Arabidopsis thaliana: one gene and its partners. The protein of the gene in region 2 interacts with the protein of the main gene of each other region in a pairwise test. Each region holds a gene or a part of one and is shown on either strand. Other genes may lie near its edges.

Region 1 (10,218 bases), on a different chromosome or scaffold from region 2:
AGTTAGTTGCAGCAGTAAAACTTGCATTTGGTTGAATATAAGTTTGTGTGTTTGGATGGATTTTAATAGTTCCTGAGGGAGAAGAAGTTCGAGCAGAAGATTCCGAGAGTGGAGATAGGAGATGCGGAAAATATAACGTACAAAGACGCAAAGACGGCACTGAGAAGAGGGATACTCTATTTCAAGGCATTGCAAGCTGAGGATGGACATTGGCCTGCTGAAAACTCTGGTTGCTTGTTCTTCGAAGCTCCCTTTGTGAGCTATTCTTCACTCTCTCTACTAATACTATACTATTCTTTTGTTTTCTATTCATTAAATATATATGTAAAGTGTAATGATATGGTACTTTTAGGTCATATGCTTGTACATCACTGGACATTTGGAGAAAATCTTGACTTTGGAACATCGCAAAGAACTATTGCGTTACATGTACAACCATCAGGTGAACTTATTATGTAACACATTTGATCACATATAGCTTCTTTTTAGTGATAAGCCCCTCTCTGATCTTTACTATGATAGTTTTCTGACGTTAACTACGAGGATAATTATTTTGGTTTATAGAACGAAGATGGTGGGTGGGGAATACACGTGGAAGGCCAAAGCGCTATGTTCTGCACAGTCATCAACTACATTTGCCTACGGATTCTGGGAGTAGAAGCAGATCTTGATGATATTAAAGGAAGTGGTTGTGCAAGGGCTCGTAAGTGGATCCTCGATCACGGTGGTGCTACTTATACGCCCTTGATCGGAAAAGCTTGGTTATCGGTATTATGCATGGCGGAATACTTATTTTATTGAAAAAAAAATAGTCTTATTATTTTCGAGGAGTTTTTTTTTTCAGTTGTATCATGGATTGTTTTGTGCCAATCAGATTCTTGGAGTGTATGATTGGTCAGGTTGCAAACCAATACCGCCTGAGGTGTGGATGCTCCCTACTTTTTCGCCCTTCAACGGAGGTTCCACTTCCACATTCTATTCTATAAATTGTTATGGTTTTGTTATATTTGCTTACTGGAGTATATATATGATCGGTCCAAGCATGTCTCTAATCAACATGTTTGTTAACAGGTACTCTATGGATTTATTTCCGGGACATTTTTATGGGAGTGTCATACTTGTATGGTAAGAAATTTGTAGCTACACCAACACCTCTCATTTTACAGCTTCGGGAAGAGCTTTATCCTCAACCTTATGACAAAATCTTATGGAGTCAAGCTCGCAATCAGTGCGCAAAGGTAAAAAGTTGAAAAGTACATGAGACCAATGAAGTATCACATAATAATAATAATAAATGACATGATGCAGGAAGATCTCTACTATCCACAGTCATTTTTACAAGAAATGTTTTGGAAATGTGTTCATATATTGTCAGAGAATATCCTGAATCGATGGCCTTGCAACAAGCTTATCAGGCAAAAAGCTCTTCGAACCACAATGGAACTTCTTCATTATCAAGATGAAGCCAGCCGTTACTTTACCGGTGGATGTGTGCCTAAGGTAAAATTTCCTCAATATACCGTATTAGTACAAATCATAACTAGTACTATAACACTGTTCTTTGATTTTTGATATATAGCCGTTTCATATGCTTGCTTGTTGGGTAGAAGACCCCGACGGTGATTATTTTAAGAAACATCTTGCTCGAGTCCCGGATTACATATGGATTGGGGAGGATGGTCTGAAAATCCAAGTTAGTCATAAACTAAAGAGTATATATATTTTTTACTCTGTTTTGAAAATGTTGAGTTTTTAAATTAGAGAATGTCATTTGGTGCAGTCTTTTGGTAGCCAACTGTGGGATACAGCATTCTCACTTCAAGTCATGTTAGCTTATCAAGATGTTGATGACGATGATGATGAGATTAGATCAACGTTAATCAAAGGATACAGTTTCTTGAATAAATCTCAGCTTACACAAAATCCTCCTGGTGACCATAGAAAAATGTTGAAAGACATTGCGAAAGGAGGATGGACATTTTCGGACCAAGACCAAGGATGGCCTGTTTCGGATTGTACTGCTGAGAGTTTAGAGGTTCTGACTCCAATGGTTATTAGTTTTTTAATTAAAGTACCCTTTTACCATCAATCAACTAACATTTGAGGATTAAACGCGGTTTACACTTGGCTGGCCAGTGTTGCCTTGTCTTTGGAAGCATGCCATCGGAGTTGATTGGCGAGAAAATGGATGTAGAGAGGCTCTATGATGCCGTTAATTTACTTCTCTATTTTCAGGTATTATAATTTTATAACCAAAACTCCACAACGGCTAGTGATTAGTGATATTAATTTGTTACAAAATTTTAACAGAGCAAAAATGGAGGTATAACAGTGTGGGAGGCAGCTCGTGGAAGAACATGGTTAGAGGTAGTTATTTTAATTTGTCTTACTAGTTTGTGTTTTTTAGTGTAATACTAATGGCTCAAAATAAATTTCAGTGGCTTAGTCCAGTGGAGTTTATGGAAGACACAATCGTCGAGCATGAGTACTATCTTTACCACATCAATTTTTTTGTTTTCTTTTCTTTTGAAAAATGAATGATTTATACTATGGAATATATGGAGCTTTGTTTAGGTATGTAGAATGTACGGGGTCAGCGATAGTGGCATTGGCTCGGTTCTTGAAGGAGTTTCCGGAGCACAGAAGGGAAGAGGTTGAAAAGTTTATCAAGAATGCTGTCAAATACATAGAAAGCTTTCAAATGCCCGATGGTTCGTGGTACGGAAACTGGGGTGTGTGTTTCATGTATGGAACCTTTTTCGCGGTAAGGGGTCTAGTGGCTGCAGGCAAGACGTACCAGAACTGTGAGCCGATTCGTAAAGCGGTTCAGTTCATTCTGGAGACACAAAACGTTGAAGGCGGTTGGGGTGAGAGTTATCTCTCTTGCCCCAACAAGAAATATACACTTCTAGAGGGAAACAGAACCAATGTGGTGAATACTGGACAAGCATTGATGGTTCTTATTATGGGTGGTCAGATGGAGAGAGACCCTTTGCCTGTTCATCGCGCAGCTAAAGTGTTGATCAATTCTCAGTTGGATAATGGCGATTTTCCGCAAGAGGTAATTGTCATTTTTCTTTCTCCAACTTGCGCTTCAATCTGATACAAGATAACTCTATATACCACAAAATGCAGGAAATAATGGGAGTGTTCAAGATGAACGTGATGGTCCATTATGCAACCTATAGAAACATTTTCACTCTTTGGGCACTCACATACTACACAAAGGCGCTGCGCGTGCCCCTCTGTTGAAGACTTCGCATCCAAAGCTTATTCTATGAAACACTCTTGCTACTGTAGTAATGACTTCAACACTTGTCATTTTCTGCTAATTGCTGATTATCAGTCAAAAGATCTTTCCAAAAATCGAAATCATGTGTTATTACTTTTGAAATAGGAGTTACAATCATTCCTCTTTTGTGTGTGTTTTACTGTACTATAAGTCTATAAGCATGTCTCAGTGTTTCCAACTTCTTTTGGAAAGCTAATCAATTCTTTCGAGGTTATACAACACCATATCTTCTAGAGCCGACCTGAAGCCACTTCGAGGTAGACACTGTAGATTCTTTATAGCGTCATCAGCTTTCTCCCTAGCCAATTCTTGTGCTCTCTTAATCCCCCCACCTTTTGTCACCGCTTCAATCGCTTCTTCCAGAGAACCCGCCTCACAAAACTCTGACTCAATGATCTCTCTTAGCCTTGGCTCCCTCTCCAGAGCGAAAATCACAGGTGCTGTTAAGTTACCTTTAGCCAAATCACTCCCTGCTGGCTTCCCGAGCTGCTCTGTCGACTGAGTGAAATCCAAAATATCATCAACTATCTGGAAAGAGAGACCGAGATTCTTCCCAAACTCGTACATTTGTTCTGTCACATCAGGCTCAACTCTGCTGAAAATGGCAGCTCCTTTGGTGCTCGCAGCCACTAAAGAGGCTGTCTTGTAGAAACTTTTGAGTAAGTACTCGTCGAGCTTGGTGTCGCAGTCAAATAAGCTGGACGCCTGCTTTATCTCTCCGCTTGCAAAGTCTTTGATCACCTGAAAACATGAAAAAAAGTTTGAGGCACAGCATTATTCAACGAAATGAGATTCATAGCTCAACCTCATAGAAAAACAATGTAAGAGTAACTAAGTACCTGACTGATGAGCTTAATAACTTCAAGATTCTCGAGATTTGCTAAGTACCATGACGCTTGAGCAAACATGAAATCTCCAGCTAGCACCGCTACTCTTGTGCCGAAAAGCTCATGAACTGTTTCCTTTCCTGCAATTATACACAGAGTTTAAACCAAACCAAACAATTTTATGACAAAAATAGATGAATCTCATAACTATTAACAAAACTCACCTCTTCGCATGTCACTCTCGTCTAACACATCGTCGTGTATCAAGCTTGCAGTGTGTATCATCTCGATGATCTCAGCCAAACGCCGGTGTTCTGTTGTTAGTTCCCTGCATCAAGACATCTGAATATGATCATTTTGTGATAAAAGATGGATACCCAACTGAATGAAAGGAATACCAACAAAATAAAGTAAAGTCTTTAGACTACTCACTTTAGGCCTGCTAATTCCGCCGTGGCATGTGATACAAGGAATACCAAACCCGGTCTCATTCTTTTACCACCAGCTCCGAAAATCTGCTCAGCCGCAGATATCAAAACCGGATTTTCCGCACCAACAATCTATAAAGAACCACTTTGTTAGATCCCCTAGTGAAACTTCAAACACAGGATAGACAAAGACAGTGCCAGAAAGAGTTTATAAGAAACACTAACCGATAAAAGATTGTCATTCAAAGTCTGCAGATCAACAGCTACTAGCTCAAACAGAGTCACCAACGAAATAGGCTGTTTTGACTCTTGTTTCAAATCAAAACTCACTGTTTGAGATTGACCAATACCTACAATTCTCATGAGGCAATAAGCATAAACTCCAGTGATTCTTAAAAATCTGTAACTATTGTAGAACAAGGTTCACGAACACTTAAAAACTAAATCAAATATCTAATCACATAAAACAAAAAGTTTAAGACTTTAAGTGAGAATCATACATACCATTGAGCAAAGAGATCTCCTTTGATTTCGTTGGCACCGCTTTGCAACTCCCCACCAGACCGCCATAGCTTCTATTGCTGCTAGTAAACTTACAAACAGTCTTCGCTAATGAAGGAAACTGACGACGGCCACAACCACATGCCATCATCATCGTACCTAAATCTATATTCCGACATGACGTCATCATTCTCACAAAACCCAGAATCCTTTTGGGCAACTAGGGATTATGAAGCTCTATAGAAAGTAACTGGAACTATGTAAAGATTCAAGCTTTAAAGCAAACGAAAAAGCTGACTCCTTTTCTTCCACGGGAAATTGGGTGTATGGAAAAATTACAACAAAAAAAGGTACAAAAATACAAAATCAAGTGGGTGATTAAGTATCAGCCGATCGAGTTTTTTTTCTATAGTTTGTTGGGTGGACGAGACAAGCCCACATGAGATCATTCGGGAGGCACGAAAGTGACGACTGTGTTTTTGTTCAATACCAAGGAGAAGAGGGAAACGATTGATTAGTCTACGCTTATCTAATCTTGAGGCTAAGATTTCACCACGTGTCATTTATCCAATGGTTTAACATACTAACATTCGAGTATATCGAAATACGTTACCTTTATAAAAAAAAAAAATCTTTAGAAATGCGTTAGTTTCTGACACCAAAGAAAAAAGAAAAGAAAACGTTACGTTGTTCTACATATTTCCAAATGTTCATGTGGTGAAGAATTCAATTTTAAAAGCTTAATTACGGTAAGTTCTATGTTTACGGTCAGTACGTAATAAGGGTCATTACTGAAAATGAGATGGAATAATTGTGATCAAATTTTGATAAGTGTTGGATACTTTCTTTTTTGCTTTTATGTTATCAAATTTGATTAATCAAAATCTGCGAACTTTGGAAATTTAAATTATAACTCATAAACATTGCAACAACAAGAAAACACATTCCTCTTCTGTTTGCTTGTAAGAAATATGGTTTTTTTTTTTCCTTTCTTGCTCATGTTTATTCATAGTAGCAGTTTCCATAGCCTACACATATAGAAAAAATGAAATTACCTTTAATATAATTAACCAGATACTTAAAGGTAAAAATGAAATTACCTTTAAAACCACTTCTCTCTATATATAGATAGAGAAGTGTTTTTCGATAGCATAATTAAAGAGAAAGAGCAAACTCACTCGGATTAGTTATGGTAATGAGTCCGGAGTTCTTGAAATTGCAGTTCCAATAGTTTCTTCCATTGGCTTGGTAATAAAGATTCATGGCGATAGATGCATGGTTGATGAGGTTACTAGGGGAGTAACATGGACATCCACTCAAAAGAACACGACAATCAACATGAGAACATGCGAAGTTTATGTTATCTTGAAGTGCTACTTGATCGGAAGAAGGTTTAGCCACACACCAAGTCTTGGTCTATAACAACAACTTAGAACAAAAACTCATTGAGTAAGAAAAAAAAATCAGATAGCAATTTGATAGTTGGTCTAAGCAAATACCTCTGCGTTGACGTTGATGAAGTTTCGTTCTGTTAAAAGGAAAGAACATGAGGATGATACTGTTAATTAGGATTATTAAATTAATTAAACTAGGATGGCTGATTAGTGGTAAACTGGTAATTTATATACCTGAGACAAGGTAGAGGAAGATGAGGAAGGAAAGGCAGATCCATGCTTTAGCCATTGTTTGATTTTTGTTTGAGTGAGAGAACTCTTCTACACTCTTTGGTGTATATAAATGATGAGCAAGTGAATCAATTTTATAAAATAAAACAATTTAAAAAGAAACAAAGATTTGTATTTCACTTTTTTTAGATATCTAATGCTAATTAATGTTTTTAGGATTTTGAGGTGAATAATCCAGCAAATTGCTTCTAGGAAAAGTAACCGTTTTAGCAAAAGTGTCGTTATATAAACGTAATGTTTGGTTTGGTTTTGCTAAGTAACAAAAAAAAAAGGTTGCTAATTGCTTCAAAAGGTTTAATGTAGTAGTGAGAACATTTGGGATCAAATAACAAGACATCAAAACGTGAGCTGAGCTGTAAATTAGGGAAAAATTAAAGATCCAATGCCCACTTTGTACGAGAATCTTAAAAAAGAATAGTTGATATAAGGCTTTTTTGTGTGTAATAATCCTTTATTCCATACTAAAACAAATCAATTATAAATAATCTTTACTATACTAATATGGAGTATTAAATTACAATTTAGCTTTTCAAAGAAGCAGATCTCGAAATCTTTTTCTTCAGCAAAACTTTATTTTGGAACTGAATTTGATTATTTTTCTTGACAAGAGAAACATCAAAAAGAGGAACGTGTGGAAAGTTTGATGTATTCGAGCAATTTGACAACCTCAGTCATGGCTGGTCTAATTGCTGGTTCGGGTTCAAGACACATCATCGCTATACCAAACACATCGTTCATCTCTTCATTCTCTTGAACCGATGATCCTCTTAATCGGTTATCTATCACCACCTCTTCTCTTTGGTCTCTTACCACTCCTTTAACCTGTATACAATTACACACCACAACGACGTCGCTTGAAACCAAACAAGATTAATAACTTATACAAGGAAAATAGATAGATAACTTTATACCCAAGTAACAAGCTTTGTTCCTTCTTCGAAAAACTCGTCATCTGTTGGTTTTCTTCCAGTTAAAAGCTCCAACAGAACAACTCCGAAACTGTAAACATCTCCTTTCATTGTCGCTTTTCCAGTATCGAAATACTCTGTTTATAACAAAAACAAACATGAACAAAATCGAAATGCAATCCAAATTTTGGTTTATATATTTGAATCTATCAGTTGTGTACCAACCAGGAGCTAAATATCCGAATGTTCCAGCCACAAAAGTCGAAACATGAGTCTTGTCTGGCTCCATCAAAGTGGCTAAACCGAAATCAGAAACCCTAGCTTCCATGTTGTGATCAAGAAGTATGTTGCTAGATTTGATGTCTCTATGGATAATGTGAGGAATGCAATCATGGTGAAGGTACGAAATCCCTCTAGCCGCTCCTACTGCGATTCTATATCTCGACGCCCAATCCAAAGCTTTTCTTCCTGCAAATAACAAAAAAAACTTGTGGCTAAAGAAACCACTCAAATACACGTTTTGTGCTTAATGCTCTGTTTTATGTGTACCGTGTAGAAAAGAATCCAAGCTCCCATTAGGCATGAGCTCATAGATGAGAAGATTGTAATGTGGAGAAGTAAAGTAGCCATGAAGAGTTACAATGTTTCTGTGTTTTATATCAGCCATTGCTTCTAACTCTCTATGAAACCCTCTGTCTCTCTCAGAAGTTCCTCTGTTTAGCCTCTTCACAGCAAAAGTAGTTGAATCATCAATGACTAATCTGTACACAGTTCCAAATCCTCCAGAACCAAGAATGTCTTTGTTGCTTAGTTTATGTGTCTTCTTCATAAACATGTCGGAGGAAACAGAGTTAAGTAATTGAGATCTAAACATCACCATTTTTCCTCCTCCTTTGACTGCAAAATTGTAAAACACAAAATTAAAACATTAGAGAAATGATTATTTCACATAGTAGCATAGATAAAGCTAGTTTAATACCTGGAAATCCATTTTCATGAATTGTGTGCTTTCTCTTCCATCTCTTGTAGAAAAGAAGAGCGATTACGATTTTGCCAATGACAAAAGCAACCACAGAGATTGTTATATAAAACGTTGTTTCCTTTGCATTAGCCATTGTTTTTCTGAAAACTTGTAAACTTTTGTTTCCTTATTTCATTATCTTGATTTGAAAAAGAAGAGAAGACAAAGAAGTTGGTTACGTGAAAACGGAGATAGATAGAAAAAGAAAGTAGGTTTACAACTTTTTTTCATCCTCACCAACAATTGGACAGGCCACATAAGAAAACAGTTCATATATTATTATTACGTATGAAATGAAAAATGAGTTTATACATAAAAATTCATCCGCTTTTTGTTGAAATTATTAAATGGAGAAGTAACACTTTATGAAAAAATTGTAATAAAAGAACTCGTGAAGTGGGTATCTTACCAGCTACTACCTAGTTTTTGTCGTTGACTTTATACTCAACATGTATAAGAAGATCAGTAATATTGCAAGATTTTACAACTTTTGAGCCTCAACATCTAAAAGAAGATGAACAATTATTCAAAAAATCCTTGCAAATTGTGATTTTTACATTAATTTGAGACTGATTTAGCTAAGCCCTCTTAGCTTATACAAAATTTACTAACTGTAAGAGAGATTTAGTGTCTGTATATTGGAAAATGCATAACATTCAGTGGCTTCTTTTGATCCTGCACAAACAAAAATCCAAAGTAAAACAACGTTTCTCAGTCTCGAAATTCGGTTTTATATTTTGGTCTAACACAACAAAGAACCATTCTCACCTTCCTAACCGAGAGAGCTCAGGTTCAGCCAACAACATATCCTGCAGCGGTTTTGCATCCATGTACCTTTCACTACTTCTGCAGATAATAAATGTTATTTGAATCAGACATTTCATGAAACAAGACGATTTTGTTTAGGGATGAGGATAAAATAGAGAGAAGTCTACTCGCAGATGTTATCGATCTTGAGTTGCTTATGATGAAGAGCGAAATCATGACCGACATAAGTCACAACCAAACTACCAGCATCAGGGTGAGGCCAAGTTCTTGAAATAGGGAAACGTAGTATGAAGGTTCCTGGTTCTTGGCCTTGAAGCGAATGTTCAGCTTCTTCCTTGGTGATGAATCCTTCAATCCATTTAGGCGATGAAGAACGCCACATTCCGTTTATCAAGCCCCGGGATATGGAGTAAGCAACAGGGAACAACCAACACCACATTTTCTCAAAATTCTCCTGAGTTATGTACTCGTAGCATCCTGATATTCTCCTTAGAAGCTCAAAATCCTGGTGGGTGAGAGATCTACTGCTGCATTTTGAAATCCTCATGAAATGTTCTTCAATCTCATAGACCACATTATCCCAATGAACATGTTGATTGTTCCGAGATATCAATATCCATGCATTTGTTCCTTCTGCTATTAGCTCTCTTGCCATGTTGATTTGATAGCTGAAATTTCGAAGAAAAAACAAACTTCATTTCACAATATCAGTATATCACAATAAAGATTCTTTCTTAGTTTTCTTCTCTGGTAAGCATATGACCGTTAGGTTCAAATTACCTATGGTG
Region 2 (9,565 bases):
TGATATGCGGGCATGTGATGTGTCTAATGCGTACGTGTGCACTCGTGTCCACGTGCACATACACGTGCGGTGTACCCCGCGTTGATAGGGTCTCGATTATTTCCAATCACGTATATCAATTGTTTTTGTTTTTGTTCTTTTTGATAAAAAAAATTTTTGTTACTTCACAATTCACATATGTATCCAAATGCAAGCGACAAACATATTCGCACGAAAGAGTCGAATGTTTTGGTTAGTGATAGAACATTATATATTGATCTTGATCGTATGATTTCATTTATATTTAGGGACTGAATTATATATTATATTGTAACATTTAACATACAGTATATCATGTGTTGCTAGTTATGATTTACATGCACTTCGAAAATGGTATCTGATTTTTTATATGATTTAGAACTTATCTGGCACACATCATTGAATAGGATCTAACACATTAAAACACTGTCTAACTTATTTGTTTGTATGTGTGTGTTAAATCATCATTTTAGCTAAGATTTTTAACCATAGGCAAAGAAATGACTCAAATGAGCAAACGAGAAACTGCAGACAGCAACATATATCAAACTAACTCTAATAGGCCCAATATAGCCCAATAAGAAGTGTGACCGATGGAGGGAAGAATCGAATTTAAATGATACAGAGTTTTTTTGTTTGGAGAGGAATAGACTGATATGATAGTCCGTGAAAATATTTTCATCTTGTTTTCAATGTGGAGATATTTTAAAGTTTGAAACCAATCCAAGTTCTAAAACATCAAAAGCTTTTATTCTCTGTTTAAACCACTTGGTTGGTCTTGGTCTTCTTGAAATATACAAACCAGACCCAAACGATAATCAGTGAAGATGACTGCATCATTGGGTCTTTAAGTTTCCTATTGGGCCAAATCAGCCCAACTATATTATTGTTATTATTTCAGTCCATTAAAGATTTTCGGCCCGTTTTATCGTTGGGAATTCATCTATATTTCCCCAATTTGATGATACACAGAACAATTTCATGTGTATACGATAAGAGGCAAATTCAAAATTTGCAATCAATGTAAAGTGGAAATGAGAAGCATGGTGGCTCAAATCAACTTATCTTTCCTTGGAATACAAACTACAAATGATGACGGATTTGGCTTCCCTTTGAATTTACCTTTTACCTCTCTCTTTTTTTTTTTTTATAGGTAATGTTGTTATTGGACAAAAATGTTAAGAAAATAAAGGTGAATGATAAATTAGAAGAGTACCCATAACTATTTTGATTATTTAAGTTGCCAACCAAGCTAGACCACTTTCCAACTTTTATAGACAAAGTGTAAGAACTTAGCACATGCTTTCCAACAAGGAATATGAAACTTTATTTCAAAAAGATTATTGTTAAAGCTTTTAATCATTCTAAAAGGTGATTAATATTTGAATTATTGGAAGTAACTTGTTTTGGACATATACCAAATTAATCAATAGTATCAATGGACATATAACATGTTGTGAGACTATATCAATGTTATATTCCAAGCCAGTTAAACCAATTTATAATGATACCATTTATAGATAAACAATACACTTTACACACATTATTTTCTTAGAATTGGGTCTCATATAGAACACTCACAAAGGTGACTTATAAAAAATGCTTCAAAGATCCTAGTCTTTTAGTGTGCATTCCTCAAAATCGTAGTTGATATGTATCTTGCTCCTATTCGGGTTTTGGTCTAGAATTTTGGTTTCAGGAATTTTCAATTAACTCATTAAAACATTTATAACATAAAAAGATATATCACGAAAACCGATCAATCATTTAATATATTTTTATTTTATTTTATTTTTTGTCACAATAAAATCTAGACAATAGTGTTTAAACATTTATCAAAAAATTCACCTTACGATTAATTTGTTTTATATTTTGTGATGATGCAATTTAATCTATATAAATTATAAAACATATCGATAATCTGTGTTTTTCTTTTTCTACATATAAAATTCATAAAAATGAGAGTTTTGAAGCTCTTAAAATGGACTAGTCAACAATTGGCCAATCTTTGTTCTAAATTGCTAATAAACGACCATTTCCGTCAATTCTCCTTGGTTGCAACAGTCTACCCGTCAAATGTTTACTAATTTATAAGTGTGAAGTTTGAATTATGAAAGACGAAATCGTATTAAAAATTCACAAGAATAAACAACTCCATAGATTTTCAAAAAAACAGTCACGAGAAAAAAACCACAGTCCGTTTGTCTGCTCTTCTAGTTTTTATTATTTTTCTATTAATAGTTTTTTGTTATTTCGAGAATAAAATTTGAACGATGTCCGAACCACAAAAGCCGAGCCGATAAATCCTAAGCCGAGCCTAACTTTAGCCGTAACCATCAGTCACGGCTCCCGGGCTAATTCATTTGAACCGAATCATAATCAACGGTTTAGATCAAACTCAAAACAATCTAACGGCAACATAGACGCGTCGGTGAGCTAAAAAGAGTGTGAAAGCCAGGTCACCATAGCATTGTCTCTCCCAGATTTTTTATTTGGGAAATAATAGAAGAAATAGAAAAAAATAAAAGAGTGAGAAAAATCGTAGAGCTATATATTCGCACATGTACTCGTTTCGCTTTCCTTAGTGTTAGCTGCTGCCGCTGTTGTTTCTCCTCCATTTCTCTATCTTTCTCTCTCGCTGCTTCTCGAATCTTCTGTATCATCTTCTTCTTCTTCAAGGTGAGTCTCTAGATCCGTTCGCTTGATTTTGCTGCTCGTTAGTCGTTATTGTTGATTCTCTATGCCGATTTCGCTAGATCTGTTTAGCATGCGTTGTGGTTTTATGAGAAAATCTTTGTTTTGGGGGTTGCTTGTTATGTGATTCGATCCGTGCTTGTTGGATCGATCTGAGCTAATTCTTAAGGTTTATGTGTTAGATCTATGGAGTTTGAGGATTCTTCTCGCTTCTGTCGATCTCTCGCTGTTATTTTTGTTTTTTTCAGTGAAGTGAAGTTGTTTAGTTCGAAATGACTTCGTGTATGCTCGATTGATCTGGTTTTAATCTTCGATCTGTTAGGTGTTGATGTTTACAAGTGAATTCTAGTGTTTTCTCTTTGAGATCTGTGAAGTTTGAACCTAGTTTTCTCAATAATCAACATATGAAGCGATGTTTGAGTTTCAATAAACGCTGCTAATCTTCGAAACTAAGTTGTGATCTGATTCGTGTTTACTTCATGAGCTTATCCAATTCATTTCGGTTTCATTTTACTTTTTTTTTAGTGAAAAATGGCCGATGGTGAGGATATTCAGCCACTTGTCTGTGACAATGGAACTGGAATGGTGAAGGTGAGTTAGACTGTTTATTTAGATACTGTATGGTTCTAACCTTCTTTGTTGTACATGTGTAAGACTACTGATCATGATTTTTGTATATTAACAGGCTGGTTTTGCTGGTGATGATGCCCCGAGAGCAGTGTTCCCAAGTATTGTTGGTCGTCCTAGGCACACTGGTGTCATGGTTGGTATGGGTCAGAAAGATGCTTACGTTGGTGATGAAGCTCAGTCCAAGAGAGGTATCCTCACTCTGAAGTATCCAATCGAACATGGTATTGTAAGTAACTGGGATGACATGGAAAAGATATGGCATCACACTTTCTACAACGAGCTTCGTGTTGCCCCTGAGGAGCACCCAGTTCTACTCACAGAGGCACCTCTTAACCCTAAAGCTAACAGGGAGAAGATGACTCAGATCATGTTTGAGACATTCAATGTCCCTGCCATGTATGTTGCCATTCAGGCCGTTCTTTCTCTCTATGCCAGTGGTCGTACAACCGGTTAGTTCTTAACTCTAAACATCCAAGTCTGAGTTATATTATCTTCTTACTTGTATTTACTTAAAGTCGTTCTCTTTTTGTAACAGGTATTGTGCTCGATTCTGGTGATGGTGTGTCTCACACTGTGCCAATCTACGAGGGGTATGCTCTTCCTCATGCTATCCTTCGTCTTGATCTTGCGGGTCGGGATCTCACAGACTCACTCATGAAGATTCTCACTGAGAGAGGTTACATGTTCACCACTACCGCAGAACGGGAAATTGTCCGTGACATAAAGGAGAAACTTGCTTATGTCGCTCTTGACTACGAGCAAGAGCTAGAGACAGCCAAGAGCAGTTCTTCAGTGGAGAAGAACTACGAGCTACCTGATGGACAAGTCATAACCATCGGAGCTGAGAGATTCCGTTGTCCTGAGGTTCTGTTCCAGCCATCGCTCATCGGAATGGAAGCTCCTGGAATCCATGAAACAACTTACAACTCCATCATGAAATGTGATGTCGATATCAGGAAGGATCTCTATGGAAACATCGTTCTCAGTGGTGGTTCCACCATGTTCCCAGGAATTGCTGACCGTATGAGCAAAGAGATCACCGCTCTTGCACCTAGCAGCATGAAGATCAAGGTGGTTGCACCGCCAGAGAGAAAATACAGTGTCTGGATCGGAGGATCAATCCTTGCATCCCTCAGCACCTTCCAACAGGTAAAAATCCCAATTCCGCCTCTTTAAAACTTTCAGCTCCATTTATGAAACATGAGTGAAAATACTGAAATTTTGTTTTGTTTGTGTGTGTGAATCAGATGTGGATTTCAAAGAGTGAGTACGATGAGTCAGGTCCATCGATTGTTCACAGGAAATGCTTCTAAGTGTGTCTTGTCTTATCTGGTTCGTGGTGGTGAGTTTGTTACAAAAAAATCTATTTTCCCTAGTTGAGATGGGAATTGAACTATCTGTTGTTATGTGGATTTTATTTTCTTTTTTCTCTTTAGAACCTTATGGTTGTGTCAAGAAGTCTTGTGTACTTTAGTTTTATATCTCTGTTTTATCTCTTCTATTTTCTTTAGGATGCTTGTGATGATGCTGTTTTTTTTTGTCCCTAAGCAAAAAAATATCATATTATATTTGGTCCTTGGTTCATTTTTTTGGTTTTTTTTTGTCTTCACATATAAATATTGTTTGAATGTCTTCAATCTTTTATTTGTATGAGACAATTATTTAAGTATCGGGTGACAATGCAGCTATTATGTATTGTCGATTGTTATATTGGCGCCCAAAATATATACTTAGCCTAAGAATTTGGTAAGTGAGTGGCTTATGTTTTACTCCAGCAAAAATTGTGTGTGTATTACCATTCTGATGCGAAACAAGAAAAGAATTTGATCTAAGAAACCAAGTTTATTCACTAGTTAAAAAACAAATGACCTAATGTAATCGACTCCACATATCAAAATACGTAAAACAAACATTGTATGTTGACAAAAGGGAAAAGAAATGATTTATTTGGTTAAAAAGAAAGCTGGATTCAATTGCAACAGTTTAGTCGAAATCATTTTGAAAGCTTACAATGGATTGAATGTGAATATTCCATTAAGCCGCTTCTGTCTACACAGAATGTTACGCTTGGAGAGCAGCAATCATTTTCACGTTTTTATCTTTTTAGGTGGACATGTATATTATTGGTTACGCCTTTGGAGTTTTTCGAAATTTATTTCTTTCAAATCACAAGATGACTAAACATCACAATCTGTTTATCTTCCTAACTAGTTAAATTTTTGTCCCCACCATTGGAAAGATTTGAAATGGTCGGTCCAGCCAAATCACTCAAATACTTTATGAAAACTTTGACAAATGATCCATTGGCCAACTCATATACACACACAAAATGTGTAGTTGCCGCACATACTCACCGACTTCATCTGTCTAATTCCTTTACTTTATTGTATTCATTTTTCAATTGTCTATTGAACCTTCCAAAGAATCTACTGTCTTCTTTATCGGTGAGCTTTCGGTCCAAACAACTAGTGTATGATGAATTGATAATTGATTAAAGTGTTAGTAGATGATTTAATATCCAAGTAGATGGTAACTAATTTACTATATCAAAAGTTAATGTGGTAAACAGAATTTCTCTTTTTTCGTCTGAGGGCCGTTTTTAGGCCCATACCAATATCAAGTAATATGTGAAAGCTATTGTATAAATCCCAGACCATAGTCTTATGATCAGAGCAACGGTACTTTTTTTTGTTGGGACAAAAGAGCAAAGTTACTTAAAAAAATGAGAACGACAACGTGAAATTTTTGCATCCCAAAATGAGTAGAGTAGACCATTAGGACTACCAGCCCATTTTCTAGTCCCAATTCTCAAATTAAAGGCCCATTTAAGCCCAAATATCTAGTGAGAAAACATTTCTCACCATCTTCTTTAGTTCTTTTGTTGTAATATCAACACTAGGACTTAGAAGTAAACAGATGGGAGCAAGCTAATAGTACTTATACAGTATTATTGAGGAATCAATTATGTCAATAATGAATGAACTGGAGTTACTAACATTCCCAAGACAAAAAAAAGACTAAATCTAGATTTTTCTTCTTCTTTTAAACCAAAAGAAAGAAGAAATACTGATGGTCATAACCCAAACCAAAGAAAAAATTGAAAATTTTCTTGAGAAACAAGCAATTTCTTCTTATGGAAATGAGTTTGAAAAAAATGCAGTAAACATTTTGGTATAAAAGATTTAAGGTTTCTCTATTCTTTCCAAAACAAAAACATTCCCTTTCCCATCTCTCCCTACTTGTAAATCTTCGTCTAAGTATCTGCAATAATTTCTCAGAATCAAGGAATCCAATCCATAACAAACACAATTCTAGTTACGATTTTGGATTTTAATTAAAAAAGGATACGAAATCTCGAATAGTCCCTCGGGGTTGAAGATTCCCAAAAGAAGATCCATGTTCTTCCTAAATATGTTCATCAACTGATTCCAACACGAAACAATTTTTTTATTACCAAAAAAGGAATTTGATTATATATGTCGGAGAAAGAAAAAAAAACAACAACACAGACCTGGTCTGGTTTGATCGTTGAGCTTTCATAAGTAATCTCTACACTCTACAAACAAACAAACGCAATTCCGTCAAAACGCGATTTTTCCAAGAATCTAAAAAACCTAAAAACGTCAAGAAAACGGTAATGTACCGATTTGGACGAGATCTTGAAGGAAGCGACGATTCTAAACTCGCCGTCGAGTAGATTCAATCCCCGGACATCGAATTTCAACACATGGACCGTTTTGCCCTTCGTTAATTGAAAAAGAAACACATTAAAAACGTCATCACTAAAAAGCTGAACTGATCAATTTCTTTTTTATCTACCTGAGCAATGTCAATCTGTTGAAGAAGATCACCAAGAGAGACGAAATCTCGAAGACCCAATTTAGTTCGTTTAGAACCCAATACAGTGATTGTACTGTAAATGAGTTTCCAGCAACCTCCGATCTTGTCTAACTCTCCAGTCGGCTCCGGTGTCGGATTCCGACATTCCAAAAGCTTCACCAGTCCCTCGATCTCTGTCTTTTTATCCGACTTAACTCCGAATATCCCTCTATTGATCCCTTTAATCCCAATACAATCAGATAACAGAATCAAAGCATTTAAAATCAAAATTTGAACTACGAGCTAATGAGTTTCGAATTAAAGATTCTGATAGTCGAAAGGAATCTGAAAGGAGCGAATCTAATCACCTTTGAGAGCTTCGTAGAGCTCTTCTTTTATATGAGAAACTGTAATCTCTTCTTGTTCTTGTTCTTGTTCTTCATCTTGTTGTTGTTCATTTGGGGAGGAACAAGAACTCTGTTCTGTGACTTTCCCGATGAACATGGGTCTGAGCCTAAATGAGTTGTCACTAAAACTCAGCGTTTTGCCATTAGAACTGGTGAAAGAGACTAATACTTTCACGTTTCCTGTTCTTCTCGAGATTGCTCCTCGTGAAGCTGCCATTGATGGTGGCTGGAAAAGGTTACTCGTCATTAGCAGTTTATACACCAGAATCTCTAAACCCAATGGAGCTTAATAAGAAGTAGAAGAAGAAGATGGGATTTGAGGAAAAAGAGAGAGAGATAGATTTATGGGGAGGAGAATGGACAGTTTTTTTTGGTTATTTTATCCATCTTTTAGCATCTATCTCTCCCCCCCACCATACACTGCACTGACTCTATTATAAAATTTAGCCAATCCCATTGGTCTTTTTTTTCTTTTTTAAGATGGTGTCATGGTAAAATTCTCAAAAAAATCTCCATCTAAATTGAGAAAAACCCAATTTTTGTTATATTTTGCAACCAATTGCATATGTTTTAAAAAAGTGTTTACACTTCATCAAAAGCAGTAATCGGAGTACAGTAACCACAAAGTATCAACATAGTAAATGCTCTGTTCTTTGTCACAAGGCTTTTAAAAAACAGAAATTCAGGCATCTTTGGTTAAGGTTGCAGAGTCTTGTGATGGTGGCTTCCATTGTTGTGGAGTCTGAGCTTTCTTAATAGAGAGAGCATGAATCTCTTTCATTTCTTCTTCTAGCGCAGCATTCACCATACGATGCCTCTCCAGCAATCTCTTCCCTTCGAATTGTTCAGAGACAACCTCCACTTCAAAACTCGAACCACAACTGCAATAAACAGTTTTGCTGATATTAAGAACAAGAAATTATGCCATAAGCCAGAGAATCAAATGTGTATTGACAATCCGGTACTTACCCTCCAGATATGTCAATGACTTCCTGGTACACACAAAAACAAACAATGTCACTAAAAAATTCTAAAAGCTAAAGATTGAAACAATTGGAACACATGAATCAAGTGAAAAGGGAAATAGATTGACATTGAAGTAACTTCAATCTTCACATGTTATAAAGCAAAGAAACTATACACATCCTTGGATCTGCTTTTTGAGTTCTAGTTCACAAAAAACCATGACACAAATAAAATTTTCCGACAAGAACACTCACTACTAAGTTGCTAATACATCAGGAACACTACGTCATCAAATCCTGAGCTCAGTATCACACTGCATCAAATTACACCTAACTACGCAAACAACCACCTTTTATATTCTGTTTCAGAGCTGAAAGACAACACATAGTGATGTATAATCTAGATGCTGAGATTATTACAATACATAGTACCTCTTATGATCCAACTATCAAAGTGTATGATTTTGATCAAAGTGAGCAGGTCAAAAATCTCAAATTTGGCAATTTTCCCAGATCAATTTGATGATTAGGGTTTCAAAGTTTCCCACAAAAGTTTCAAACCCTAATCAATAGATGAAATTGAAAGAAGAAAGCAGTATAAGAACACTCACGAGATGAATTGGCTTAAGTTTCGAAGTCAATGAAGCTTCGACTTGCTCCTTCGTCACCATCTCTCTCTCTCTCTCTCAAACAAAAATTGAAATCCCTAATTACTGTACTCATTGAATTAGAATATTAAACCATACGCTATTTGGTTTTGGTTTAGCGAGAGTACGGTTTAGTTTGGTTCAATTGGGATACCATTCGGTTATCGACAATTCCAAAATAATAACTAGGGTTTAAGCTCTGCTTTCCTTTACTTCGTCTTCCTCACTCCTAAAACCCTCTCAGTCTCTCCATTTCCCGGAGCAAAAATAGCTCTCCGACCATGAAGTTTGGATCTTTACCATCCAAATCCCTTCTCTTCCGCCTCTCTTCTTCCTCCACAACCCAATCTCACCGTCGAACAATTACCCTTTTCATCACTAACAT
Region 3 (10,329 bases), on a different chromosome or scaffold from region 2:
AACGATTATTTATAATTTTGACTAGGAGTAGGTCATCTTCTTCCATCATGACTTTTTTTTTTTTTTATCATTTTCAAAAAGTATAATATATGAACAGAGAAATTCAGAGTTAAGAAATAAAAGGAGTTTAATGTGTATACAGATTATAGAATGATACACATTTTCATAATTAAGATCTAAATCTGATACCCTTTGTTTCCCTGGTTTTGTCTAAATCTAGTTCAATATACATATGATTGTTGTATGTGCTTTGTTTTGTTTCATTTGTGAATTTGGTAATTTAAAAGTAACAAATGGTAATAATTAATGAATATATGTTTGAATAGGGAAGAAGTGTTTCACATGGTACGGACCGTACCCGAACGTGATAGTAATGGATCCAGAGACACTCCGAGAGATTATGTCAAAACACGAACTCTTTCCAAAACCAAAGATCGGGTCACATAATCATGTTTTCCTAAGTGGTCTTCTCAATCACGAAGGTCCTAAATGGTCCAAGCATCGAAGCATTCTTAATCCTGCTTTTCGTATTGATAATTTGAAGGTATGTTTTTCTTTTACCAAAAAAGAAGAAGAGAATATATAGAATGCTCATTTTGACTCTAATAATTATATTTTGTTTTTTTTATAATTGATTTTTAACTCTGACATAATGTGAACTTTGTGGACGTCATTTTCGTCTCATTCTTTAGATTTTGGTCAGTTTCATTCTCTCTTTACTTTTTTTCGAAAAAAGTCAGATAAAGTAACGTCTTTCCTCTTGTTTCTTAGCTCAGAGATTTAAACAATAATTATATTAAAAAAAAAATCATGTATTAACTATTTAAAAAAAATAAAAAAATCAAGATATAACAGAAAAGAAAAAAAAAATCTCTTAAACAAAAAAATATTAAATATCCCGGAAAGAACATAAAGAAATACCTAAAAAAGGTATTTATAGAAAAAGAAGAAACGGAGAAAAAAAAAAGTCAGCAAAGAACTAAAGAATCCACGCCACGCCACCAAGTCACCCAACTTAAAAGTCTAAAAGCAAAAAAAACAGAAAAAGCCAAAAAGGCACATTACAAGAAGGTGAAAATGAAATCATCATATTTCAACTCAAGAATTTCTAAAATACCAAATTTATTTCGACAAAAAGAATTTATCATTTCATTATCAGTGTAGAAACCTCACATATGCAGAGCACTCATCATCTTTAACAAAAACATTATGAGCAAATAAGTAGCAATAAATAATATACAAAATGTAAGCTTCTTTAAAGACCCATTTCTGTGATTTTTTTTGGTGTGAAATTTGGTAGTGATTTTGAAATGGTATAAATGAACAGAGCATACTACCAGCATTTAACTCGAGTTGCAAAGAAATGTTAGAAGAATGGGAGAGATTAGCCTCAGCAAAAGGAACAATGGAACTTGATTCATGGACTCACTGTCATGACTTAACCAGAAACATGCTTGCTCGTGCTTCTTTTGGTGATTCCTACAAAGATGGTATCAAGATCTTCGAAATCCAACAAGAACAGATTGATCTTGGTCTCCTTGCTATTCGAGCCGTCTACATTCCTGGCTCAAAGTAAAGAAATTGTCTAAAATCAACTGCGTTTAATTAAAAAAGTCGGAAGCTAGTTTTGCTGATTCAGTTTTTCTATGTGCAGGTTTTTGCCAACAAAGTTCAACAGGAGGTTGAGAGAAACCGAAAGGGACATGAGGGCTATGTTTAAAGCGATGATTGAGACAAAAGAGGAGGAGATAAAAAGAGGAAGAGGTACCGACAAAAACAGCGACTGTTGTTCTCGATGTTGGCTTCGAATACAAAAACCATCAAAGAACAAGGACCAGATTCAGGGCTGAGTCTTGATGATCTGATAGATGACTGCAAGGCTTTCTATCTAGCTGGTCAAAATGTGACTTCTTCATTGTTTGTTTGGACACTTGTTGCTCTAAGCCAACATCAAGATTGGCAAAACAAAGCAAGAGACGAGATTTCTCAGGCCTTCGGTAACAACGAACCCGATTTCGAAGGGCTAAGCCACCTGAAAGTCGTAAGTATACATTTTCAAAAGTGACTAAACCACATTATAACTAAAAAAAGGGTTGTTTTTTTTAACAACTTCTTTGGTTATTATCATTAGGTAACAATGATCCTCCATGAAGTTCTACGACTCTATTCACCAGCTTACTTCACATGTCGGATAACTAAACAAGAAGTGAAGCTAGAGAGATTCTCTTTACCTGAAGGAGTTGTAGTAACAATACCAATGCTCTTGGTGCACCATGATTCTGATCTTTGGGGAGACGATGTGAAAGAGTTTAAGCCCGAGAGATTCGCCAATGGCGTGGCGGGTGCAACCAAAGGAAGACTCTCCTTCTTGCCATTTAGCTCGGGCCCTCGGACTTGTATCGGTCAGAACTTTTCGATGTTGCAAGCTAAACTCTTCTTGGCAATGGTACTTCAAAGGTTCAGTGTTGAACTCTCTCCATCGTATACTCATGCTCCTTTCCCAGCTGCAACTACATTTCCACAACATGGAGCTCATTTGATCATCCGAAAACTGTAGGAGGTAGAAGAATGAGGAAAAAAATGTAAAGGTGCTTCCTTTTTTTTTGTTCATCAACAAAACAGAACCTTGAAGGTGTGTAGTGGTAAATGCAGTTTGAATCCGGTCAAGAAATCTTATTTGGGTGTTTTTGTATATATGAAACAAATTAAAATCTAGAAATTTCATAAGATTTTTTTATTTTCATAGCATATTTTTCACCACCACCTGATTTAGTTTATGTGTTTAACATAATGAGTTTCATTTGTATATTTTAATTCCACTTTAGTCATCACACACATAAGAGAGGCTTTTCTTATTTGTTTGCCTAATTTCAACTTCACTACAAAAAAATCTTGTGCCATGTTAAAAGAAAATGCCACGTGAAATAGTAATCTTATATATGTTGAATCTCGACAAAATGATTAAGAAAACATGCTTTTAGCTCATTTACTAATTTAGTCTAATACATGAGGCAATGAATCAAAGAAGATAAACAATAATTATAACAAAAAAAGAATCAAAGAAGATAGAAAAGAACAGATGGTTGAAGAGACGCATCAAGATCAGCTGTTTTTGCATTTATATTTCTAATTTGTTTGTTTTGTTTAGGTAATTCGGTCCAGACAAACATTCTCGAATTGAAACCACAAATTTATTAATTTATTCGGTTCCAGAAAATTTTATGTTTCATTTTGAGTTAGTTAAAGAATCTCAATCAAAACCAAACTTAAATCCAACTAAATAGCAAGCTTATAAATATTACCATTTTTTGTCCCAAAAATAAATAAATCAATATGACCATTTACAAAACTTCGATTTAATTTTTTTACTGTTTATGTGAAATTTGTTGTTTTCACTTTTCAATACCAAGATGTATAGAATTTTAACACAGATCAATTTATATTTGGGTCTAGTACCATTCACAAGTATCTAAAAAATTGAGTTACTTTTATTTTGCAATAATAAGCATGAATTTTTGTTTATTACTCCATTATGACATACAGTAAAAAAAAAAATCTGTGTTTGAAGTTTTGAACAAGTAAAGAGTGTTGTTACAGTTTCCTCTGCCAAATACCCTTTGAAACTAATCAATCCTTTCAAGATTAAACATTACCATATCCTCAAGAGCCGATCTGAAACCACTCCTAGGAAGACAATTCAAATTCTTTAACGCAAGTTCAGCTTTCTCCTTTGCTAATTCTTGAGCTTTCTTGATCCCACCGCGATTTCTAACTATTTCAATCGCTTCTTCAAGCGATCCAGGCTCACAAAACTCAGACTCAATGATCTCTCTTAGCCTTGGCTCATTCTCTAGCGCGAAGATCACTGGCGCCGTTATGTTACCTTTGGCTAGGTCATTAGCTGCAGGCTTACCTAACTGCTCTGTGGACTGAGTGAAGTCCAGAATGTCATCAACTACTTGAAAAGATAAACCGAGATTCTTCCCGAACTGATACATTTGCTCTGCGACCTTGCTTTCGACTTTACTGAAAATTGCTGCTCCTTTGGTGCTTGCAGCTACTAATGAAGCTGTCTTGTAGTAACTCTTTAGCATGTAGTCATCAAGCTTGACATCACAATCGAATAAACTCGATGCTTGCTTTATCTCACCGCTTGCAAAATCTTTGATCACCTGCAAAAAGATAAATCAAGATTCAGACCAAATGTTCTTTGTATTGAGTAGCTTCATCTAATCTCAGAAAGGAATATTACCTGACTTATGAGCTTAATGACTTCAAGGTTTTCGAGATTTGCTAAGTACCATGATGCTTGAGCAAACATGAAATCCCCAGCTAATACAGCTACTCTTGTTCCGAATAGCTCGTGAACCGTTTCCCTTCCTAACAAACACAGAGAGAAAGCTTAAACACTTTGCAGAGAAAATGCATACTCCGATCAAAAGAATGGAACTTTTGTCTTACCTCTTCGCATATCACTTTCGTCTAACACATCATCGTGTATCAAACTTGCGGTGTGAATCATCTCAATGATCTCACCTAAACGCCGATGTTCTACTGTAAGTTCCCTGCACCAAGATCAGCTATAAACCATCATTTTTATTTCTAAAGATTATGAGCAGTTTCGCGGTCAAAGATGTAATGACAGTTATATATAGATTACTTTAAGCCTGCTAATTCCGCAGTGGCTCGTGATACAAGGAATACCAAACCCGGTCTCATCCTCTTGCCACCAGCGCTGAAGATTTGCTCAGCAGCAGATATCAAAACCGGATTTTCTGCACCAACAATCTATAAAAGAAGAGAATTTACATAAGAAACATAACCCTCTATCAAGAGACCAGAAAAGAAATGGTGGCGAGGTACTAACCGATAAAAGATTGTCGTTCAACCTCTGCAAATCATCAGCTACGACCTCAAACAGAGTTTCCAAAGATATTGGCTTTCGTGACTCTTGCCTCAGATTGAGCATCACTGTTTGATCTTGACCAATACCTACACAATCATCAATATTCAAAACCCTGAAGAAAAGTCTTAAATGTATAAGCTTTTGACTTCTCATAAATTATCTCAGCTTATAAGACTCTTTGCCTCAACCAAAACTAAAGATTTCTATTTCCATAGCAAACATTCAAAAAGCTCGAAACTTTAATTCATGAGACTCTCTGTCTCATGAGCTCAAAACTGAACTGTTATAAGACTAAAACTATGCACCAAAAAGGTGAAGACCAATCAAACATGATTCAATTACTTAACCAACCAAACCTCAAAATCAAAGAATCTCAATCAATCACACAACCAAAATCAGATAGTTCTGCTGAAAAATTGGTTACCGTTGACCAGAGAATTCTCCTTGGATTTAGCCGGAACAGCTCTGCAAGTAGCCAAATCTCGCCGGAGAAATACCAAATTTCCAACACAGCTTCTGCCACCAATCATACAAACGGTCTTCGAAGAATTGCCAAACAAGAATCGACGACTTGTTGAAGAAGAGCTACAAGAATGATCAAGAACACTCGTACCCAAGTCTATATTCCGACATGACATCATCATTTCTCAGACCAAAATCCACAAGTGACGACAACTTTTAGGCAAACCCAAACCAAAAAAAGACGGCTAATAATAAGTTTCAGAAACTGAGAGTCCAAAGAGAAGAATCTTCGGAAACTGAGAGTCCAATGTTAAGTTTTTTTCTTTTTGGCTGACGAGAGAGAGATTGGGTGTGTGTATGGCAAATTTTCAGAAAAATAAAAAATAAAAAAGACAAGAAATTTATAAGTTTGTGAATCGATCCCTTTTTTTTTTTGTGTTGATTTTCTTTGGGTGGACGAGACAAAACCACATCAGAAGTAAGAACTCGCTCTCAAAACTCGACCTTTGGCGGACGAGAGAGATTTCAGATTTGTGTGTGTGTGTGTGTGTCCGTTTTCTTTTTTAATTCAATATACAAATTAGAGAGAGAGGGAAAAAAAAGTCCATCGTTGTAATCAGAAGCTGAAATGTCACCACGTGTTTCCTACCGATTGGTCCGTCATCTAACTCGTATCAAATATTTTGAGATTAGAGAATATCCATTTTTCTGGTTTCAAGACAATTATAATATCATTAATCCAGATCTCACAAATTTTATACTAATAAGTTTTTTACCTACAATAATTAGGCTCTAGGGAGTATTTTAAAAACAAATCATCAAATTACGTGAAACCATGATTTTTTATATTGATAATTCATTTCTCCAACTCCATTGTGAATCAAAATAATACTGTTATGACTTAATTTACAATTTCTGTATATTATTCTCATTCCATGTATTACCAATCACAATAAGTCATCATATATGAGAAGATTAACAAAAATGGTTGAATAAATTTTCTAAGAGCTTTTAAATTTAATTAGTACATAACAAAACAAAAATATGAAAGAAAAACATTACCATAATTATTTTATTTATTTCTTGGTAAAAAAAACATTACCATAATTAACCTCTAATAAGGGATTAGGGACCAAGCAAATATGTAGTTGGAACATAAATGGGCCACACAAATATAAAAACTGAGCAGAAGAAGCAAAAATCGCAACTCCTTTCTTTCTTGTCGGTAATTGATTTTAGATAAACAAATATACTTAAGTCTTACAATAAAAATCCTTTCCACCTAATTTAAATCACTGAGCTTTACAAAAGTTAGTATCAGTTAATACTTAGACTTAGCAAATCTATCTGTACAATAAACCTCAATAACAGTCGATGCTTCTCTACTTTGTTGAGTTGAGTCTGTTGATTAGATTCAGATGCCTCTTATAATCCTGAAAAATGCAACAAAAACCAAAATAAATAAAATAAGCAATTTAAGATCTTCAATTTGATCTCTCTTTGCTTCAACAAAAACTAAATTTTTTCACTTCCTCACTCACCTTCCAAGCCGAGATAGCTCAGGTTCCGCCAAAAGCATATCTTGCAACTGTTTTGCATCTGTATACCTTTCACTAGAACTAAAAACAAAAACAATTGTCACAAGACAGACACTGAGGGGAAAAAAAAAGGAGATAAAGAGGTTTACTTACTCGCAGATGTGGTTGATTGTGAGTAATCTATGATGAATAACTAAATCATGGCCGACATAAGTCACAACCACGGAACCAGCGTCAGGATGTGGCCAGCTTCTTGAAGTAGGGAACCTGAGAATGAAAGTGCCCGGTACTTGATTCTGAAGCGAACGTTCTGCCTCTTCTTTAGTCACAAACCCTTCTATCCATTTAGGCGAAGCAGAGCGCCACATTCCATTAATCAACCCCCTTGATACAGCCGAAGCAACAGGGAACAACCAACACCACATTGTCTCAAAATTCTCTTGAGTTATGTATTCATAGCATCCACATATCCTTCTTAGAAGGTCAAAATCCTGATTACAATTTCATGTCAGAATCACAAATACAAAAGATCAAGACTTTGATCTTGGTGAAAGTTCAAGCAATATGAGAAGAGAAAGAGACAAGACCTGGTGAGTGAGAGATCTACTGCTGCATTTAGCTATTCTCATGAAATGTTCTTCAATCTCAATTACCACATTGTCCCAATGAACATGTCGATAGTTCCGAGAGATCAGATTCCACGCATTTGTTCCTTCTGCTATCAGTTTTCTTGCCATTTTGATTTGATAGCTGGAAAATTTGGAAGATTAGTGTTCTATTTTATTTGAGGCAGGTGTGAGTTTAATTTGATTTCTTTACCCGTGGTGGGAGCATCCGGAATAGAGAGAAACTTGATCTGCAAATTCCGAGACTTCTTCGTCTGATGAATTGTTTGTGATTTCCTTCAGAAGAAGAGCTCTCTCTGTTAAGTTTCCAAGGCAGTATTTGAAAATAATCCAGTCTGGGATTGAATATCTCCTGAAAGCAGTCGAGTCTCTCATTTCAGTGTTTTCGGAATCAGTTGAAGAGTTATCTTCTTCGTGGTTCTGAGGCCTCCATTCCATACTCGTACCATTTCCATTCACAATCTAACTCGAGAGCAACAACAATGCAGAATAACAGTAAGTGGGATATGGATACAAAGCAAAACAAAACGTAACTCAGAGAAATTGGATTATCCACCTTACTCTCAGAAACCTTTTCTTCTCCTAATCTGATCCGTTTCATAGAGGAAACAGAATCACGGTTTCTCGAAATGCAACGGATTTGGTTGGTGACAGTTTCGAGGAAAGGATAATTGGCCTTCACTTCTGGTATTTCGAATTTGATGCAGAACAACCTCTTATCACTCTTGGAAGAAAGCTACAAAACAAAAGAAAACAAGGATCCTTCAATGCCTTTTAGCATAGACAAAAAAATTCTAACAAGAATGTGAAATCCCATTCCGATGGCCTAGATTTATAATCACCACCTGAGATAATTTGAACTTGAAAGAAGCACATCCGTTCAATAAGTTGCACGGTTTATCTTCAGCAGATAATTCAATGCCTTCATAGCTTACTAAAAGGAATGCCTCAAAGTCACTCCTCTTCTCAACATGCGTCCCACTATCAGCATACAGTAGAGAAGCCACAACCTGCAACATCAAATCGATAACGCGCTATCAGAAATACTTCCTGAGCTAAACAAATGCAGAAATTTTTAGAAAGCATAAGAGTATGAACCTTCACATCCTTGTGCACAGGCTGTCCAATAGCATTGGTTAAAACAACATCCAAGGAACAAAATGTTCCACTAACGACACTCCAAACACCATCTTCATCCAATTCAATTCCAGATGTAGATGGCTTATCAACAGATAACCATAAAGGTGGGTCCTGGAAAAGAAATGAAGCGAAATAAAGAAACACAGGACAAGAGTCTTTTGTTGAAAAAGAAGAGAAGGCAAAGACAAGAAACTACCTTTGTGTAGTGATAACTTGCAGAGAGATTAGAAGGCAAAACTTCTGCACTGTGGATGAAACCCTGAACACTATAACCATCTCCACCAACACTAAATAACGATATCTTTCGTGCGCAATCTGAATTTGTACCATTGGTCATCAAGGAAGTTAAGACTTGCTCTCCTACAAGCTCTCCACAAATATAAAGGCGCATATAGTTTCTAGAAACCTAGGAGACAACAGAAATCAGTAAATCCGAAGAAAAGAGATATTGGTCAAATTAATAAGAGTCCTCAGAGATCTTATAATTACTACCTCACAACCCACATGAACCCATTTTTGAAGAGGAAACTTAGCCGTTGTAGAAACATTAGGAACTTCAGTCCAAGAAGAAGTGTTAACAGGATCAGGAGCTTCCCTGTGAAGGAGAGTCAATGGCAAAAGCATCATCTTCTTGTTTTCATCTAGAACAAGGAAAGGTGCACTAACACTCATGTCAGAGTGAACCTGAGAAGAAAGCCACTATTTAATCAGAAGCTGGTTGTTACAGTTTAAAACTCATAAATCAACAATGGTTATACTAAAAAAAAAAAAATCAAAGAAGCGACACAAAGTTTGAACCTTTTCCCCCAATTCGCAAAACAAGTTAATCTCACAAGACATGGATATATGAAAACGATTATAACACAGAAGGCAACAGATGGACATTTCTGAGAACTCACCTGTCTGATAATTGCAGAAGGGTATGTGGTGGAATCTAAGAGATAAACCCAAAAACAAAGTGAGAAAGTCTCAAATGCTTTGTTTTCGACTTCAACATCGACATTAAAATCCTCCAGCAGAGAGTATTTCTCGGTGTCAATCGCACAATCACCCGCCATTATAACACACCCAGATAAAAAGCTCTCGACTTTGCAAGCGAAACCCTTAAAACCCAGAAAATGAAAATACACACAGATGAAGAAAAAAAAAGTAAAACCTTTTTCGTTTGTCTCGCTTTTTTCTCGTTACCTAAACAAACACAATCGAGAGCTTAAAGGAAACTGAAAAGAAACGCTGAGGAATTTTTCGTCACGTCTTTTGACGGCTGTTAATTAACGGTTCGTACCGTCGTCTTCCGGTGGTTTCAGTCTATACTCTATAGGGACGATCAGCAAACAATCTACTGCCTCGCGACCACGAAACTAAACTAAATTAGCCAATCATAATTATTTGATCTATTGACTGGTCTTGACTACCATTTTTTTTTTCTTTGGATAAAATCTGCAGTTAGCTGGTTAACAAATTCGTTTTGATTTCGATTTTACAGAAAATGAAAAATGTTTATAATTTTATTTTAATTTGATGAAACTATGGTTTATATTATTTAGTCTAGATTTGGTTTCATATTAATTAAGAAAATTTATAACATTAAAATAAAACGAATTTATTCGGTTACCTAAAACTCGATTTTGTTTTGGATTTATATTATCAAAACCCG

Evidence for each region.
Region 1: the proteins of AT5G09820 (region 2) and SPS1 interact in a two-hybrid assay, tested with the Arabidopsis thaliana proteins (one study listed by BioGRID).
Region 3: the proteins of AT5G09820 (region 2) and SPS2 interact in a two-hybrid assay, tested with the Arabidopsis thaliana proteins (one study listed by BioGRID).

The regions. Positions count from the first base shown.
Region 1 is NC_003070.9:29,531,926-29,542,143, forward strand, and holds SPS1 (solanesyl diphosphate synthase 1), read right to left. Parts: upstream 5,558-10,218; 5' UTR 5,239-5,557; coding exon 5,052-5,238; coding exon of another isoform or gene 5,048-5,051; intron 4,898-5,047; coding exon 4,773-4,897; intron 4,680-4,772; coding exon 4,552-4,679; intron 4,448-4,551; coding exon 4,344-4,447; intron 4,260-4,343; coding exon 4,132-4,259; intron 4,034-4,131; coding exon 3,485-4,033; 3' UTR 3,253-3,484; coding exon of another isoform or gene 3,136-3,252; 3' UTR 3,135-3,135; downstream 1-3,134. Other genes in the region: AT1G78500 (Terpenoid cyclases family protein), read left to right, coding at 70-255, 353-442, 565-768, 875-959, 1,072-1,238, 1,309-1,500, 1,580-1,693, 1,781-2,035 and 5 more; AT1G78520 (Carbohydrate-binding X8 domain superfamily protein), read right to left, coding at 6,051-6,076, 6,227-6,464, 6,548-6,576, 6,677-6,731; AT1G78530 (Protein kinase superfamily protein), read right to left, coding at 7,349-7,555, 7,645-7,778, 7,867-8,109, 8,191-8,538, 8,621-8,756; SHB (SH2 domain protein B), read right to left, coding at 9,270-9,372, 9,431-9,508, 9,598-10,098, 10,211-10,218. UniProt on the Arabidopsis thaliana protein: Involved in providing solanesyl diphosphate for plastoquinone-9 (PQ-9) formation in plastids. Catalyzes the elongation of the prenyl side chain of PQ-9 in plastids. Contributes to the biosynthesis of plastochromanol-8 (PC-8) in plastids.
Region 2 is NC_003076.8:3,049,566-3,059,130, forward strand, and holds AT5G09820 (Plastid-lipid associated protein PAP / fibrillin family protein), read right to left. Parts: upstream 8,014-9,565; 5' UTR 7,816-8,013; coding exon 7,530-7,815; intron 7,401-7,529; coding exon 7,162-7,400; intron 7,085-7,161; coding exon 6,986-7,084; coding exon of another isoform or gene 6,899-6,985; coding exon 6,854-6,898; intron 6,765-6,853; coding exon 6,691-6,764; coding exon of another isoform or gene 6,654-6,690; exon of another isoform or gene 6,604-6,653; coding exon 6,525-6,603; 3' UTR 6,053-6,524; downstream 1-6,052. Other genes in the region: ACT7 (actin 7), read left to right, coding at 3,244-3,303, 3,398-3,791, 3,878-4,491, 4,590-4,655; AT5G09830 (BolA-like family protein), read right to left, coding at 8,251-8,449, 8,538-8,560, 9,145-9,204; AT5G09840 (Putative endonuclease or glycosyl hydrolase), read left to right, coding at 9,462-9,565.
Region 3 is NC_003070.9:5,824,510-5,834,838, reverse strand, and holds SPS2 (solanesyl diphosphate synthase 2), read right to left. Parts: upstream 5,925-10,329; 5' UTR 5,551-5,924; coding exon 5,331-5,550; intron 4,993-5,330; coding exon 4,868-4,992; intron 4,789-4,867; coding exon 4,661-4,788; intron 4,566-4,660; coding exon 4,462-4,565; intron 4,381-4,461; coding exon 4,253-4,380; intron 4,173-4,252; coding exon 3,624-4,172; 3' UTR 3,456-3,623; downstream 1-3,455. Other genes in the region: CYP72C1 (cytochrome p450 72c1), read left to right, coding at 327-544, 1,328-1,572, 1,655-1,850; AT1G17065 (uncharacterized protein), read right to left, coding at 809-819, 981-1,023, 1,451-1,554, 1,769-1,802, 1,836-2,032, 2,111-2,178, 2,232-2,536; SHA (SH2 domain protein A), read right to left, coding at 6,783-6,801, 6,910-6,987, 7,060-7,397, 7,494-7,656, 7,726-7,994, 8,089-8,268, 8,378-8,542, 8,631-8,783 and 4 more. UniProt on the Arabidopsis thaliana protein: Involved in providing solanesyl diphosphate for plastoquinone-9 (PQ-9) formation in plastids. Catalyzes the elongation of the prenyl side chain of PQ-9 in plastids. Contributes to the biosynthesis of plastochromanol-8 (PC-8) in plastids.